Oryctolagus cuniculus: one gene and its partners. The protein of the gene in region 3 purifies or fractionates together with the protein of the main gene of each other region. This does not show direct contact. Links are inferred from orthologs where the notes say so. Each region holds a gene or a part of one and is shown on either strand. Other genes may lie near its edges. The genes, in order: MAP1B, RASSF3, STK3, MAP1S and RASSF6.

What was found.
Region 1: the proteins of STK3 (region 3) and MAP1B purify together in Homo sapiens (affinity purification with mass spectrometry; 4 studies listed by BioGRID and IntAct, with this or other methods). This does not show direct contact. The link is inferred for Oryctolagus cuniculus from reciprocal best matches to the Homo sapiens genes STK3 and MAP1B.
Region 2: the proteins of STK3 (region 3) and RASSF3 purify together in Homo sapiens (affinity purification with mass spectrometry; 4 studies listed by BioGRID and IntAct, with this or other methods). This does not show direct contact. The link is inferred for Oryctolagus cuniculus from reciprocal best matches to the Homo sapiens genes STK3 and RASSF3.
Region 4: the proteins of STK3 (region 3) and MAP1S purify together in Homo sapiens (affinity purification with mass spectrometry; 3 studies listed by BioGRID and IntAct, with this or other methods). This does not show direct contact. The link is inferred for Oryctolagus cuniculus from reciprocal best matches to the Homo sapiens genes STK3 and MAP1S.
Region 5: the proteins of STK3 (region 3) and RASSF6 purify together in Homo sapiens (affinity purification with mass spectrometry; 4 studies listed by BioGRID and IntAct, counting the BioPlex papers as one, with this or other methods). This does not show direct contact. The link is inferred for Oryctolagus cuniculus from reciprocal best matches to the Homo sapiens genes STK3 and RASSF6.

Annotation. Positions count from the first base shown.
Region 1 is NC_091445.1:38,862,933-38,867,100, reverse strand, and holds the start of MAP1B (microtubule-associated protein 1B), read left to right. Parts: upstream 1-1,360; 5' UTR 1,361-1,672; coding exon 1,673-1,856; intron 1,857-4,168. UniProt on the Homo sapiens protein: Facilitates tyrosination of alpha-tubulin in neuronal microtubules. Phosphorylated MAP1B is required for proper microtubule dynamics and plays a role in the cytoskeletal changes that accompany neuronal differentiation and neurite extension.
Region 2 is NC_091442.1:66,842,592-66,845,487, forward strand, and holds the end of RASSF3 (ras association domain-containing protein 3), read left to right. Parts: coding exon 1-106; intron 107-2,115; coding exon 2,116-2,364; 3' UTR 2,365-2,382; downstream 2,383-2,896.
Region 3 is NC_091437.1:124,029,583-124,032,284, reverse strand, and holds the end of STK3 (serine/threonine-protein kinase 3), read left to right. Parts: intron 1-833; coding exon 834-992; 3' UTR 993-2,194; downstream 2,195-2,702. UniProt on the Homo sapiens protein: Stress-activated, pro-apoptotic kinase which, following caspase-cleavage, enters the nucleus and induces chromatin condensation followed by internucleosomal DNA fragmentation.
Region 4 is NC_091447.1:65,423,450-65,426,234, reverse strand, and holds the end of MAP1S (microtubule-associated protein 1S), read right to left. Parts: intron 1,179-2,785; coding exon 943-1,178; intron 714-942; coding exon 558-713; 3' UTR 503-557; downstream 1-502. UniProt on the Homo sapiens protein: Microtubule-associated protein that mediates aggregation of mitochondria resulting in cell death and genomic destruction (MAGD). Plays a role in anchoring the microtubule organizing center to the centrosomes. Binds to DNA. Plays a role in apoptosis.
Region 5 is NC_091439.1:92,036,907-92,040,426, forward strand, and holds part of RASSF6 (ras association domain-containing protein 6), read left to right. Parts: intron 1-2,150; coding exon 2,151-2,293; intron 2,294-3,520.

The DNA of each region.
Region 1 (4,168 bases), on a different chromosome or scaffold from region 3:
CAAATTGAGTAAAAGAAAACTACCACAGACATCAAAGTAATAGTGGTTCAGAAGGATGGAAAAAAAAAATCAGTAGCCAAGGCTGAGCAACAATGACTCAATGGCTGACCTCTGGAAAACTGCTTGTCACTGAGTCTCCTTCGCCCGCTCTGAGCTCGGGTGCTGGCCTCCCCTCTCCACCAGTAACTGGATGTCTTGCCCAGCTGGCTAGGAAACTTTCACTCTCTGGTTACCGGTGCCTGCAGCTTTCCAATGGGCTTGTCGCAGGTCCCCAAGTGCTGCTGGCCAGGCAGGATGGTGGGCTGCAGTGGTTGGCTGCCTGTCATACCCCCATTGCAGGGGCTCAGGAAAGCCATAAGAACCAAGAGTGTGTGACCCGTAGGCACAGCTGTTGACAACTAAGACACTGGCTTACTCTGGAAATCTTGGAATATCCTCTGTTTTCTTGAATATGCCATCTAGTAGTAAAGCTGTATTGATTCCTCTTCCCCCAAACTCCAACTCCCACTGCCCCTCCTTCACCCCTTCCTGGGACAGAAGCGGCATTCCATCAATTGGGGAGCAAGGTTCTAAACCAAAGGCAATACAAATCCCTTGTGCTACATCTATTTTAAAAGACATCATGGCCACGTAATTTTGCTTGTGTGTTCCCCAGGGAAGTACACAGTACATTATGGTCACTTACTCCTGCTGAGTGGAGACAGCACCTTCTCTAGATTGTTCTGCCGGATACTATCTGCTCTATTAGTAGGAACAGAACATCTGTATCTCAGATAACACATCTGTTTTCCTCTCATTCCCATGAGCACTGCAGAGCCAGCACTTGGTTGCTTTTCTTTTTTTTTTTTTTTTAATCACTGGCCCTTGCTGAGTCCAAAGCCTGAGCAGCAGTCGGCCTCGGCTTTGCATTTTTGACGTGTTCGTCCAGGAAAGAGACGACGACTGCTGTTTGGAATATCTAGGTAAACAGGTGTAAATGCACAAGGGCAAAGCCAGCAAGTTCCGTCTCCCTGGGGGATGGGAGGGGGGTACCCTCAGCTGAGGCCGCCGCAGCCTGCACAGCCCCTGAGCTCCAGCCCAGGCAGGTCAGGAGGCAGAGGCCTCACTGTGCACCTCGGACAAGGCGGCCGGCTGCACTCTGCACAGGGAAACGCATCCCACCCTCCTGCACGGCCGGCGGCGGGGGCGGGGGTGGGGACGGGTGCGGGTGCGGGTGCGAGCAGGGGCTTGCGAGTGTCCTCCCCCTTCGGGTTCCCCAGCCCCTGGGCTCGCGGCCCTGCCCAGACCATTGTCCGCACACCTCGTCCCTCTGGCTTCCGGGCCGCGGGCGAGATGATTTGCTGCGGATGACATCAGCCCCGGGCCAACGGTTGGAAGAGCGGAGCCTGCCACCGCGTGAGGATGTGCCGGGTGGTCCCTTCCTCCTCCTCCTCCTCCTCCTCCCCGGCTCCCTGCCCGCTGTCCATATAAAAGCGGCGCCGCCTCCCCGCCCGCTCTCACTGCCCGCTCCTCTCCGCCGCGCTGGGAGAGGGCGGAGGGGAGGCGGTGCGAGGCGCCGGGAGGAGGGGGACGCAGGGGGCGGAGCGCGGACGGCACCTTCGGGGATAATCCTTTCTCCTGCCGCAGAGGCGAGCGCGGAGCGAGTACTGCGCGCAGCTCAGCGGCCGGCAGGATGGCGACCGTGGTGGTGGAGGCCGCCGAGCCGGAGCCTTCCGGCGGCGTCGCCAACCCGGCGGCGTCCACCTCGCCCAGCTTGTCGCACCGCTTCCTCGACAGCAAGTTCTACTTGCTGGTGGTCGTCGGCGAGATCGTGACCGAGGAGCACCTGCGGCGCGCCATCGGCAACATCGAGCTCGGTAAGCGGCCCCGGGCGCGCGCAGGCTCGACCCCACCCAGGGCGCCGCGGCCCCGGCCCCGGCCCCTCCCGCCCTCCGTCTGGGGCTGGTTCCGAGAGCGGTACGAATGCCCAGGTCTGAGACCCGGGGCGAGGTCGCTAATAACCTTGAGGGACCTGGCACTGGGCGAGGTCCGCTGCGTGGAGGGCAGGTGTCAGGGGCGCAGAGGCCACAATACCGCCGCAGCCCTACGACCAAGGGCGGGGCGGGGCACACCTGGGGCTGTAACTCCAAGAGCGGGTACCCCGCGTGGCCAGCGTCTCAGCACGGCTCCCCAGCCTCCCAGAAATGCCCTTTCCGGCTTAAACCGCCCGATCCTTTCTTTCCCTGGGTGACTCGGCGGGTAGGAGGGCCACGCCCGCTCCCCCACCCCAGGGCGCAAGGATGGAGAGCCACCCGTGCCGGGTTCCCAGACGAAGCCCGTCTCCCTCCCGCCCCCGGGGTCCGCAGTCGCAGCTTTTCGAAAGGACAATGGGACCCCCAAGCTGCAGGGTGGGGCCGCCGCTTCTCCGAGTCTCGTCTTCGGAGGAGGGGGCGGGGGCGTCGCGGGGAGGGCCTGCCCCTCGCCGCGGTGCGCACCCCGAGCGTGCCCCGCAGAGGCCGAGCAGCGGTGCCTGGGCAACCCAGGGCGGGGCCCCGAGGGTCCGTCGGGTGCCGGCCGAGCAGAGCCGACCCGGCTGCCGCAGCGCCCCCACCTGCCCGCCGCACCTGCCCCCCGCACTGCGGCGCCCCCTCCTGCGGCTGCCCGGCTGGGTGGCCCTCAGGCCCCCGGGGGCGCCGCCCCAGCCCCCGCCCGACCTCCGCAGCCCCGCCGGGGGCCGCGAGTCCCGCCGCAGCCCTAGCCCGCGCTCTATTCTCCAGGGTGGTGCTGAAGCGATCCTGCCGGGAGCCGCGGGCTGGTGGGCGTGGTGCAGTCCGCACTGCGGTCTCTACGGCAGCCCGAGGCGGACAAAGGGCGTTCACGCAGCGCTCGTTCCCGCTCCCCCATCCCGAGAAAAGACGAAAGAAAAAAACCTGGTTTTAGGCGAAAACTGAAGCGCTCGTTTTGCGCCTCTGTGTTTGGAAACGGCCAGGGGTCTCCAGAACAAAAGGCTGCAGGGTGGGGACGGGCACTGCAGACCTGGTTCTTTTGTTTAACTTTAAAGCGCTGATTTTTTTTTTCCTTGCAGCTTCAGAAAAATCTGAGCAGAAAGCACTAATGATACTTTATTTGAAAAAAATTCAAGAGCAGGAGGCATTTCCATAGTGAAGTGGCCTGAGCATCTCAATAACCCTTCATTTTGAAAATATAGGCCTTTGATCTGATGTGATTTAATTTAAATTTAGATTTTTTTGGGGGGTCCCCTGTTTTTCCTTCGTTTCACTCGTACCGACTTTGGGTGTGGCCATTGTGGGAATGAATGACTTCGGATTTTTTTTTTTTAATATCGTTTGTCTGCAACGTTGCCGGGAAATAATAGCACATCAGGGGGGTGGCTTTCACGCTATAAAATCTGCATCAGCACCCGGTGCGGTGCCAGGAGTGGGACCCTTGCCCCCATTTCGGAGACGCGGCCCTGACAGGCAGGAAGGCTCAAGGTCACAGCAGCCATGGGGTGACTGACAGAAGCGCAGTACTGCAGCGTCACTCTTTTTCCGACCCTGTCATGATGGGAGCGCCGGGCCGGCGGACATCACAGGGCGATTTTCGTGCCGCCGCGCCTGCCTTTGTAGAGTCATCCACTTGTGGGCAGCGCCCCGAGCGGGGAGCGGGGAGCCGCTTCAGCAGGCACCTGGCGACCGTGGAGATCCGCGCTGCTTTGTTGCCCAGCTGATCACCCTTGCGGTGCCTCGGTCCCCAGGGGGCTTACTCGGGCAGCTTCGACGCACTGCTGGGCTTTTATTCTTGTTCACAATGTCAGGGCTCCTAGATAACTCCTGACTTAGAAATTAAAAAAAAAAAAATTTGTGCACAGTATTATGTAGAGGGAGAGAGCGAACCTCACCCACCAGCAGTGCCATGAATTTTCACAAATGAGTGCCCCTGTGCCATCCAGCTCAGGAAAACACATTCCCAGAATCCCGGAAGCCCCCTCGGTGCCTTCCTGATTTTTAATTCCCTCCTTTGGTCAGGTGTTTGCATGGAACTTCAAAATGGCTGTATTGATCCCATTAAACATCACCCGAGTGAGTGAGCAAAAGCCATTTCCTTCCGCAGCCGTAACAGATGCTGCTCCCCGCTCCCCTCCACCCGGAGATTGCTCTCCTGGGTCCTGGGGTCTGGATGCAGCTGC
Region 2 (2,896 bases), on a different chromosome or scaffold from region 3:
CGCCTGCAAGCTGTCAGACCGGGAGCATCCACTGTACCTGCGTTTGGTGGCAGGGCCCAGAACAGACACACTTAGCTTTGTTCTTCGTGAACATGAAATCGGAGAGGTAAGTGGTTGTTCATTATTGCTTTAAACTGAACGGAGCAGCTGGCCCTGTTTTATTGTTCCAGTCTGGTGGCTCGGCCACAGGGAAGAAAGAGCGAGAGGGGCAGAGGAGTGGGGGAGAGAGAGAGGAGATTCTGAATGAGTGAGCCCCAAGTTAACCTGCAGTGTAATTCTCTTACAATACTGTGTTGGTCTGCAATTTTCAGAGGTCGGAGGAAGTGAAGATTTTAAATTTCCATCTAGAGAGTCATTTCCATCCCTTCCTGCCTCCACAGCACTCTTACCCAGCTGAACTTTGAAAGTTGACACTCTCCATATGTTTGCTACTTAACAGGAGTCTTCAGGCCAGTTTCTCTCTAAAGGGCAATGTAGGAAATCTGATCGCTTTACCACGAAAGACATTTGACTTTGGAGAGTCTCCCCCTTCTTTGCCCAGTCGAATCATTAATAAATTCTCTGAGTGCATCGTCTGCCTTCTGTTTCCAGGAAGATTGTACTGGGGCCAGTTCAGAATAAAAGCTCTTGAGACTGTCCTCTAGAAGTATCAACCTGAGAGTGACACGAGAACACATCTCTTAAGCTCTGGGCCTCTGTCTTTTGTTTAGAACAGGAGACGATATGGAAGGCGATGCAATGTGGATGTGTTTTCTAGGTTAAAGGTTACGAAACCGTGGGGCAGGCATTTGATGTGTCAGTTAAGAGACCACGTGAGATGCCTGTGTCCCATATCGAAGGACACAGATTTGAGTCCCAGCTCCTCTGGGAGGCAGCAGGCAATGGCTCAAGTACTTGGGTTCCTCTACCCAAGTGGGAGATCTGGGTTGAGTCCCAGGCTCCTGGCTTCAGCCTGGCCCAGCCCTGGCTGTTGTGGGCATTTAGGAAGTGAACCAGCAGATGGGAGATCTCTGTTTGTCTTTCTGATTTTCAAATAAATAAAATTTTTGAAGTTAGGAAACCAGGGCCCTGCTTCCTACTGTATACAAGCCTCAAGGCTTGACCATGGGTAAATCTTGCAGTCATAATGCCCTCTGTAAAGGGGAACTGGGCTGTCTGAAAAGGTGCTCACCGATTAGACATGCATGTAAATGTGCTTTGCAGATAGTATGCTGATGTGTAAATTAGCACTCAGCTCAGGAAGTTTTAGGAAGATTGTGACTTGAGACATTTTTGAAGTTCCTTCTGATCTTGAAGCTTTTAAAGGAATTCCGACTCTGGTTTTGGAGAGGGAGCTGGGTGCAGAGGTCTCATCTGTGCCCGAGAAAGCCCAAGCCAGACTCATTAGCATAGTCTTGTCACTGGTTTATTTTTCTTGCTATAGGGCTTTTAAGGATTTCACATGGTTTAAAGCAACCCTGGGGAGGAATTAGGTTAACTTAGTTTTAAAACTTACTGTACATTGTGTTTCAGGGCTCCAGACTGCTTTCTTGGGCCTGTGTGTGGTGTTCTTGTTCCTCAGTTATTTAAGGGAAACTAACCTGAGGGAGGAAAGCTTCCATAGTTGTCAGGACAGAGGGAGAAGACCCTTTATAATGCCCTTATTTTGAAGACCTTAACGTACAGTTTAATTATGACAAATTCACAGAATATTCTTTTTTGAAAAGATTTATTTATTTGAAAGTCATAGTTACACAAAGAGAGGGCAGACAGAGAGACAGAGAGAAGTCTTCCATCTGCTGGTTTACTGCCCAGTTGGCTGCAACGGCCAGAGCTGCGCTGATCTGAAGCCAGGAGCCAGGACTTGGACCTTCTTCCACTGCCTTCCCAGGCCATAGCAAAGAGCTGGATCAGAAGTGGAGCAGCCATATGGGATGCTGGCACTGCAGGTGGTGGCTTTACCCGCTACGCCACAGCGCTGGCCCCTCACAATATTCTAATGTAATATTTTGCTCTTCTGTTCCATGTTTCTCACTTTACAAAAATTATTTTTTAATTTATTTATTTGTTTTTAAATATTTATTTATTTATTTGAAAATCAGAGTTAGAACTTCTATCCACTGGTTCACTCCCCAGATGACTTCAACACCAGGGCTGGGCCAGGCTGAAGCCAGGAGCCAGAAGCTTCATCCTGGTCTCCCACGTGGGTGCAGGGGCCCAAACACCTGGGCCATCATCTGCTGCTTTCCCAGGCCACCCTCAGGGAGCTGGATCAGAAGTGGAGCAGTCGGGATTCCAGCCGGCGCCCATATGGGATGCTGGCAGTGCAGGCGGCGGCTTTACCCGCTGTGTTACAGCATCAGCAGCCCCTTGCTTGAGTCCTGACTCCGAGTTCAGTACCTGGCAGGATTTTGTGTGTGTGTTGTTTCACAGTGGGAAGCCTTCAGCCTTCCAGAGCTGCAGAACTTCTTGCGCATGCTGGACAAAGAAGAAGACGAGCAGCTGCAGAGCCTGAGGCGGCGCTACTCTGCCTACAGACACAAGCTGGAAGAGGCCCTGGGCGAGGGCTGGAAGCCCGGGTAGAGCGGCCGGCTCCCTGCCAGGAAGGCACGCGGCGGGACCCACGCACCCAAGTGCCTCGCTTTGCAGAGGGCTGTGTGCTCGCCCTGGGACGCTAGGGTCTTCCCCCTTTTCTCTCTAGATCTAGTTCCTACGACCTGGTCACGCAGCCTCCTGCACCTTTAGCCACTGTGTAAGGGACTCTGCTAGCTTGTTCCATGGCAGCGAGCGGGGGCCCGCAGGCAGCCTTGGCAGGAGCGCCTACAGTGCTTGGAAGCATGAACTCTGGGTTTTTGTGTTCTTATCTTCTTTTAGGTTGTTGTAGTTCTGTGAGGATGATGTTAAGCTTCAGGATGTG
Region 3 (2,702 bases):
GAAAGGAAACAGGGTTTTAGATTTTTTTTAATGTTAAGAAGATAAAAGCACGTTCAGTGACATATTTCAGGACATCTCATAAGCCCTTAGACAACATCCCTAAAATGTGTTTCTCAGGAGATAATCCATATCTTGCTGTTTCAACATAGAAATCGATACAGTAAAGCTTGGCAAAATGCCATAAATCCTATTATGCCTCAGAATAGATGTTATCGCTCTTACACACGTGACGTGAGACCTGTCTTCTGCCGTTGTCCATACCCCCAGCGTGGCCGCGCTCTGCTTCGTGTCCACACGCGCCAGGCCCACGGCAGTACTTGGGGAGCGCTGTTCGTACCAGGCTGGCACACCGGGGACGCTCATTTAAAACCATGTTTTATCAGGCTCGCCATGGGATTTCCCGACTGTGCTTAAAATGTGCACTTACGGTCACATGGAGGATCATGGCGCTGCCCAGGGCCTCATGGGACATTCCTGGGGTGACACTGCCCGTGGCCAGGCCTCTGCCGCTCCGAGCTGGGCAGGCCACCCAACAACCTGTTTGTTGGCGGGTTTGTCTTTGTGCCTTTTTTTTTTTTTTCAACAGATACATTTTTCTCCTTTGCTCTGTCCCAAAAGCAGAGGTTTTGATCATTTTGTTGCAAATTACTTGAGATTCTTACAAGATCTGGCTTCTGGGTTCTTTAGGGAATGGATTCCTGTTTGAGCTGTTGAACCATACTTCAAAACCGTTGTAAAGAATTTGCTGAAATATTTATGCTAAAACTCTTTAGTCTTGGACATACAGTAGGTGGTTTTACTACAGTAACATCTTTGTTTTCTTCTCTGTCTAGTTAAAAAACCTGAGTTTAGAGGAGCTGCAGATGCGGTTGAAGGCGCTGGACCCCATGATGGAGCGGGAGATCGAGGAGCTCCGACAGCGCTACACCGTGAAGAGGCAGCCGATCCTGGACGCCATGGACGCCAAGAAGAGGAGGCAGCAGAACTTCTGAGCCGACCTTTTCCTGTTTCCATGGCTATTCTGGAGACCAAGAAACCACTAAGAATTGAAGGAACATTGTGATTTTTTTTTGTCTTCTTAATCCCTTAGATTTACGCTCTAGGCCAAAGTCCAAAACTGATGATGGTACATACCCGGGTAACTAAAGGCAGACTCTCCAGTTGTTTCCACTGTGTTCTCATCTTTAAGTGACCAGAAGTGTGTTCTCCCCGCCCCCCCGCCCACTGCATACCAGCAGCAAAACCATGTTCTAGAACAAAGGCTATGTGTAGAGACCTTGAAAATCCAAAGCTATTGTTCCATTGTACAGCACTGAAGGGCTTTATGTCACAGTACTTTTTATTCCTATCTAGTAGCCTATTTATTGTATCTCACTAGGTAAACTTATTTATTTATGCTATTTCACATTGTCTTATTTTTTAAGGACAAGATCAGGATAGAGTAGGAGCAGGTGGGGACATTTTAATAGATAATGATGCACAACAAAATGATACTTCCAGCAGGGAGCTCTGGGCTACCTTCCTTGATTTCCAAGATAGTTTTTCAATACCAACAAAGCAATAATAGTAATAGTGCCCAAATGGATAGAGCATTTTTTATATTGAAGCAATAATTCCATTTTTACCTTTTGAGATTTTGTTTAATTGTTTTGATTTTTGATGTTTGCTACAAACAGAACTATATATATTTAGGTCAAACAGAGCTATAATGTTTAAAACCAAAGAAATCAGTGGAACCCTTGCACAAAAAAGCATGGGAAATATTTTAAAGGAAATTAAACCTTTTGACAAATGTACTTTGTTAGCGTTGTTTTGTGTTTCATGTGTAAGTCTGATAGCTAAACTGAATCAAACTGTAATAGCTCATCAAATTTATTTCCATGGAAATGCGTTCTATTGACACAGGACTTTTTGTTGATTTCATTTATTTCCTAGGAATTGGTAAACATCTTGTGCCTGATAATAAAATAGCAAAAACATTTGTACTGGACTGTGCAAGCCTTGGAGACTAGGGAAATAAAAAAGATTAAAACCGTTACAAAGAAACTCACTTCCAAGGGAAATGCGCACTGGTGAGACTGAGCTGGGACCACGTTTCCTAAGCTGCCTGTAGCTGTGCTGACAGTGTTCACTCTGGTGTGTTCGGTTACTACGTGGAAATCATGAAGACAAATACACTTCACCCAGCACTTTGCATCTCGTTATCTTTATTATCACTAACGTGGGTTTTTATTAACTAACATGGCGACTCCTCACTCAGCCCATCCCACGTGGGCGGTGCTCTGCTGCTGTCATCCACACTCGGGGACCTTGTGGTCATCACAGCCAGGGATGGGAGTTGGGGCGAGTCTCAGGCCAGCTCCAGCCTGCAGGAAAGCCTTGCCGGTCCTCAGCAACCTGGTATTCAGAACGAGTCATGAGGCCTCCCTCACTTTGCAAGGAGCTGGGAAGTGCGGCGTGCAGCCCTGCAGAGGGAGGCGGGGCGGACAGGCAGGTGAGCTCAGTGATGCCTGCCACAGGAGGTTCATCCTCCCTGGGAAGCTCCCCTTCCTTTTGAAGATGCATGAGTGCCCCAGGTAATACCAATGCAGTTAGATACAAATGATGAGATTGGAAAAATCGTGATGAATATTGAAAAAAAGGTTATTAAAAATGAAGACTGAACTTAGAATATATGTTTCAGCTCTCCCTTGATTGAGGTC
Region 4 (2,785 bases), on a different chromosome or scaffold from region 3:
CACATGGGGGGACGGGACCCGGCGGGACCCTCCCCTCCCAGGGTTCGCACGTGGGGGAGCCGGGTGGGACGTGGAGCGGCCGGGACTCAAACCCGGCCGCTCCAGTCCCGGATGTGGGAGTCTGGGGAGGCACTGAGCCCGCTGCGCCCCCACAACGCTGGGTGGTTCCCCTGGGGTGCACCTGCCCCGTGGCCGTAACCCCCCCCAGACCCGCTCCCCCCACCTCTGGCTGCTCGCACTGGTCCACGCCCGGCTGACCCCTGCCCTGCGCCTTCGGGAGAGGACCCGGCCCTGCCCTGCGTCTCCGTCTCCCGTCTCCAGTGGAGCCTCTCCCGGCCCGGAACCCAGCTGGGCCGCCCCCTCCCAACGCCCTCTCGAACCCTCGTCTCAAGCAGGGTTTGGTCACCGCCAGGGGGCGCCGGCGGCCCCTCTGCTGTTGCAAGGCCCGGGGAGGAGGCCGCCGAGGCCTGGGGTCCCGCCGGAAGAAGCGTCCAGGCCGGGGTGGGGGTGCGCAGGGGCTTTATTTCCGGGGGCGGGGCTGCGGGGCGGGGGCGGGGCTAGAACTCGACCTTGCAGGCGGGGAAGGCCTCGTCCTGCATGGACACCATGCTGTTGCTGCCCAGCACCGTGACGCCCAGCGCCTGGTGCCGGCCGTGCGTGTCCTCGTACCAGCGGTGCATGGCCGCCGAGTCGAAGGTGGGGATCAGGGTCACCTGCGGGGGGGCAGTACACGGTCAGGGGCGCCCCCTCCCTCCAGGCCCCGCCCCCCGCCGGGAACGAGAAGTCCGCGCTTGACTGGCCCCTGTGAGCGTGCAGAGGCCAAGCAGAGGCGGGATGGAAGGAGCCCGACCCTCAGGGGTCCCCTCCGCCCGGAAGCCGCCTGTTCCCGCCCCACGAGGGCGTGGCCAGGAGCCAGGGGGCCCAGGGCGAGGCGGTGCGCACCTGCAGCTCGCGGTCCCACCGCTCCTTGCCGGCCAGCAGCGCGTCCAGCACGGCGCGCATCCCCTCCTCCCTGCGCTGGTCCTGGCCGCTGATGACGTAGCAGAGTGCGCGCACGCGCCGGAAGAACTCCTCGTCCACCAGGCGCGCGCCGCTCCCGCTGGGCAGGTAGGCCAGATCCAGGTAGACGGGGGAGCCGGGCGCGGCGGCTGAGCCTCCGGGCCGGCTGCCGGCGGGGCCTGAGGGCAGGAAGCGGGTCGGCGGTGAGCGAGGGCGCCCGGGGCTCCAGGCCCTCAGCGGGCTCGCAGACCACAATCCTTTAGTCAGTCTGCAATGCCAGGAGCTGCGCCTCGGGGGTCAGCCACAGGGTCAGCGAGAGCGAGAAGTCAATCAGGAAGGGCTACCTGGGGGAGGCTGCCTCCCGGAAGTGGACACTGCTGTGTGGCGTCCACTCGGGGGGGCGCGCCAGGCCCGGGGGTCATACGGACCAGGGAGCAGCCCAGCCCCCCCCATGCTGATGTGGAGCCGTGGCCTTGGCAGTCACAGGGGAAGACCCTAGGAGGTGCCGCCTCTCCACCCACGGACAAGGCCCTGAACTCCCGACCCCAGGCTGCAGCCCCCGCCCTGAGGCTGAAGAGGCCAAAGGAGGGGCCGGTGCCGGGGCTCAGCGGGTGAAGCAGCCGCCTGCCGTGTGGCATCCCACAGGGGCGCGGGTTCAAGTCCCAGCCGCTCCACTTCCGGTCCAGCTCTCTGCTGTGGCCTGGGAAACCAGTGGAAGATGGCCCAAGTGCTTGGGCCCCTGCACGTGGGAGACCGGGAAGAAACTCCTGGCTCCTGGCTCCAGCCTGGCACAGCTCTGGCTGTTCTGGCCATTTGGGGAGTGACCCAGCGGATGGAAGACCTCTCTCTCCCTCTCTGCATTGCAAATAAATTCTTAAAAAAATGCAAAAAGAGCGATAAAGGTTGGGGCAAGCAAGCAGGGCCTGCACGTGAGCCCACAGCGACACACAGACTCGGCCAACCCGGGGTGGCCCTGGTGACCGGAGCCTGGACTCGCCAGCGGCTCGGGGGCAAAACGGGGATTCACTGCCCAGGCTCCTGAGCCACGCATGGCCGGGCCGGAGCCAGCTGGGGGGGTGGGGTGGTGAACAAACACCCCCAGGCACAAACACGCTGAGCGGAGGAGACACCCCCGAACACCCGCATCCCGGGTGACCGACGCAGCGCGCCCTGACCCTGGCTGCGGGACGAGGAAGCGACCAGTACGGGGCCGGGGCTGGCGCCGGCATCCCACGTGGGCGCCGGCTCGAGTCTCGGCAGCTCCACTTCCGGGCCGCTCCCTGCTCAGTCCTGGGAAAGCAGTAGAAGATGGCCCGAGTGCTTGGGTCCCTGCACCTGCGCGGGAGACCCGGATGGAGCTCCTGGCTCCTGCCTGGTCCAATCCCAGCTCCTGTTTGGGTACCGAACCTCTCTATGCCTTGCAAAGAAAAGCCAGCGCGGGAGAAGATGCCGGAAGTCAATCAACACCTTAGTGAGCTGCCCCCCCCCCCCCCCCCCCGTGCGTCAGGGCCGCCGTTTAACTACACAAACAAACCACAGAACGACGAGGCCTAGCAAGACGCGGGGCGCCCGCAGACCCTGCCCAGCGCGGGCGGGAGCACGCAGCCCCGACGCTGAGTGACACCTGCTGCGGCCCCGCCCCCTGGGGCGGCACCCGCCTTACAGAGAAGGGGGCGCCGGCAGCCACGGGAGGACCAAGCCCAGGGCGGTGGGTGTAGCCGCCGCGTGGGGCGCCGGTCCGGTCCAGCCCGGCCCAGCCACCGGGCACCCGAGCCTCTGGGAGCTC
Region 5 (3,520 bases), on a different chromosome or scaffold from region 3:
GGATGGCCCAAGTGCTTGGGCCCCTGCACCCGCATGGAGACTGGGAAGAAGCACCTGGCTCCTGGCTTCTGATCGGCACAGCTCCAGCCATTGCAGCCATCTGGAGAGTGAACCAACAGAAAAAAGACCTCTCTCTCTATCTCTTCCTCTCACTGTCTGTAACTCTACCTCTCAAATAAATAAATAAAATCTTAAAAAAAAAAAAAAAAGAAATACGTGGTTGGGAGCTGTTGGTATAGAGATGGAATTCAAAGCGCCTGGAGGTCACCAAGGACATCGGTACAGATCCAGAGAAGAGCCCTAGGGATAGGCAATAAGATTAGGTGTAAAAAGCCTTCAAGTGAGTTTCTTAGCCAGCCTCTAAGGAGATATTTTCTGATGGTAGATGGTAGAAAATATTCTGAAATCCCTTGTCTCGAAAACACATACCAATGCTTGATAACAGATGGAGTAGTCAATTCTAGAGAACAAGAATTACATCACTTCAGACAGTAGTTGTTCCATGAGGTTTTTATGTAAAGAATTAATTAGAGTCTCTTTGGACAAAGAAAGGATGTTATGCACTAATAATATAGAATCTGCATTGTGTGCTGACATTTCAAAGAAAGACCTTTGTGTTGGGTTGTTGAAAACACTTGACCTCTGAGTAATCCGAAATGAACTAACTGAAAAATGGGACAAAGAGCAAAACTTTGTTTCTAGAGTGGCTTAAAGACAGTTTACCAGACAAAGAAATAAGCAGCAGTAATAATTACCAAGCACATCTGGAGTGCTTGCCAGGTCCTGTGAATTAGGGATTCTCATAATGTCCATTTTTCCGAAGAGGAAGCCCAGACTTCAAAAGGTAGTCAGCAGCTTGCTCAAGGCCGAGTAACTAGGAAGCAGCAAAGCCAGGGTTTGAACACAAGTCTAGCTGATTCCAACGTCTGGCATTTTCTTTATTCTCTTAAATAAGAATTGAGTCATTCATGTTGTCTAACAGTTGAATTTTCATAATAACAGTAGCTAATTGTTGTCATAATGGTTACTGGATGGTTGACATATAACTCTTCTTGCTTCTATATTTTCCCACGTTTCTATAACAATTACACATTAATTACTTTAATAACAGAAACAGACTTACTCCTATTAAAGATAAAAATAGATTAGAAAATAAGTTCTATGGGAACATTGTTCTCAGTGTTGTTTAAAAACAAGTAGTGTTCAACACATGTTTTTAAATTTTTCTTTAATGCACAGCATTTTCTTCTTTTATTACACTATTTCTAACTTAAAAGAATTTCCAGGGCCAGTGCTGTGGCATAGTGGGAAAAGCCGCCACCTGCAGTGCCGGCATCACATATGGGCGCCAGTTCCAGAGCTGGCTGCTCCATTTTCAATCCAGCTCTATGCTATGGCTTGGGAAGACAGTAGAAGATGGCCCAAGGCCTTGGTTCCCTGCACCCGTGTGGGAGACCCGGAAGAAGCTCCTGTCTCCTGGCTTCAGATCAGCACAGCTCCAGCAGTCACAGCCACTTGGGGGAGTGAACCAACGGATGGAAGACCTCTCTCTCTCTCTGCCTCTCCTTCTCTCTGTGTAACTCTCACTTTCAAATGAATAAATAAATCTTCAAAAAATTTTCCTAAAATTCTATTGACTTTTCAAAACTATCACTTTGATAGTGTTTTGGACTTTACAGTGTGTTTTCACATGTACTCTGTATACAGAATTCTCATGTATTCTGTATAACTTTTTGAGCTAAACTTTTCTTGTTCAGAAATAAGAAAACAAGTGCTAAGTGTCCCGATAGTTCTTTCCTATGATTTCTAGTCCAGTGCAATTTTAAAACCTGCTTTAATTTTAAATTAAACAGAATTACAGAAATACAGAATTCCACTGAATGGACGATTCAGAGTTCAGACTATCTTAGCATACTACGCCCTCTGGTGGATGTGCCATTAGCATTGTGACTAATTTTATTGGGTATGGTTTTCAAAAATAGAATATTTCAAAAATAAGTCTTTTGTAGATAAATTAATAAAAATCATTCTTGGGATTTTTGAATCTGTTATTGTTTCTCATGAACTTAATTTCCACAACATCAGTTAAATCATTTAGCTTCTATAAATCATACAAAAACAACGTGGGGGAATATTGGTTTCTTCCTTAGGCAGAAGATGGCAACCTAATTGTGGAAGGAATGCTGGACATTTTCTGGGGAGTAAAACGACCTATACAGCTGAAAATACAAGATGAGAACCAAATCTCTCCTTTCACTACGTTGAAGTCTCCAGAAACCTTTTCCACCAAAGGGTAAGCCATCTTTCATGCTTTTAGTTCCTTAGATGATATGTATATTTACATTCGTTGTATGCACTCTGAAAGAGGGAGCTGATGCTTGTTGGTAAATGCTTACACAGTGGATTTGAATCCCCTGTGAAGTAGGAGTTTGTAAGTCAGGACTCTGCAAAGTTATGTAATTTGTGCAAGCTCCCCGCTAAGGTTGGCAGAAGTTAGAACCTTAGTTCTACGGGCAACGGAATCTGAGCTCTGAATCCCTTTACAGTATTGCTTCTCTCCTGAGAGTCTACGTTCTTTCATTGGGAAAAAAAAATATTGTAACCCAGGATTTGTTTATCCCTATCCTAGTCTCCTAAACATGGGGCAGAATTTAGACATCTCTCACTGGAGCAAGGGATTCTTCCTGATTTCTAATAAAGACTTAATCATGCCAGACCTGATTGTTCTGATCCTGCTCAACAGAGCACAGCAAAGTGCATTAGAAGTTAAATAAATACGCAAAACAATTTCCTGTATGGCTTACCTTGAATATCCAAGTTGAGCTGTTTTCTTCATTATTCCTTCCACTTATCAAAAAAATTAATTAATAAGTATTCCCGACAGGAATATACCTACAAAATTCCCTCCTACCTCTGCTTCTCCCTTCCTTCCTTCCTTCTATTTTTTTAAATTCTTGACTTCCAGCTCTTCTCCCATCTCTACATGAACACTGAGCTATGAGCCTTCTCTTCACAGCATTCTGTCCTCCCATTCATTGTTAGGGTGAGTCAGGTTCTCTCAGAGGGGAGGACAGGAAAAGGGCTGCCAGGACAATTTGCACAATGTGGTCTTTGGCCACAATAAGAACAAACAGCTGTCACCTCAAGGGAAGTCTGCTTTTCATTTGGAGAAAACATTTAAGCCCCACGATGACTGTTGGCTTGCCAATGTTTCCAAACATTATGCCCCAGCATTAAGAACATTTTTAATTCCCTACACATATTGTTCAGGTTCTCATTCTCCTGAATCTCTGAGCAGGAGACTACCAGCTTCGAGACACCTATTTGCCATCCTTTAAGACTCAGGTCAGGTGACATTTTTCAGAGAGCCTTTTCTGGCCCTTCAGTGTGTAGTGGGTACATTGACACTTATCTACATCACTCTCAGAGCATACAGCTTCCTGCATTTTTATGAACTGATTTCCCCCTCTGTAGTGTGAGCTTCAGGATGGGAGAGAAGAAGCTTTGTTCATCTTTGCAT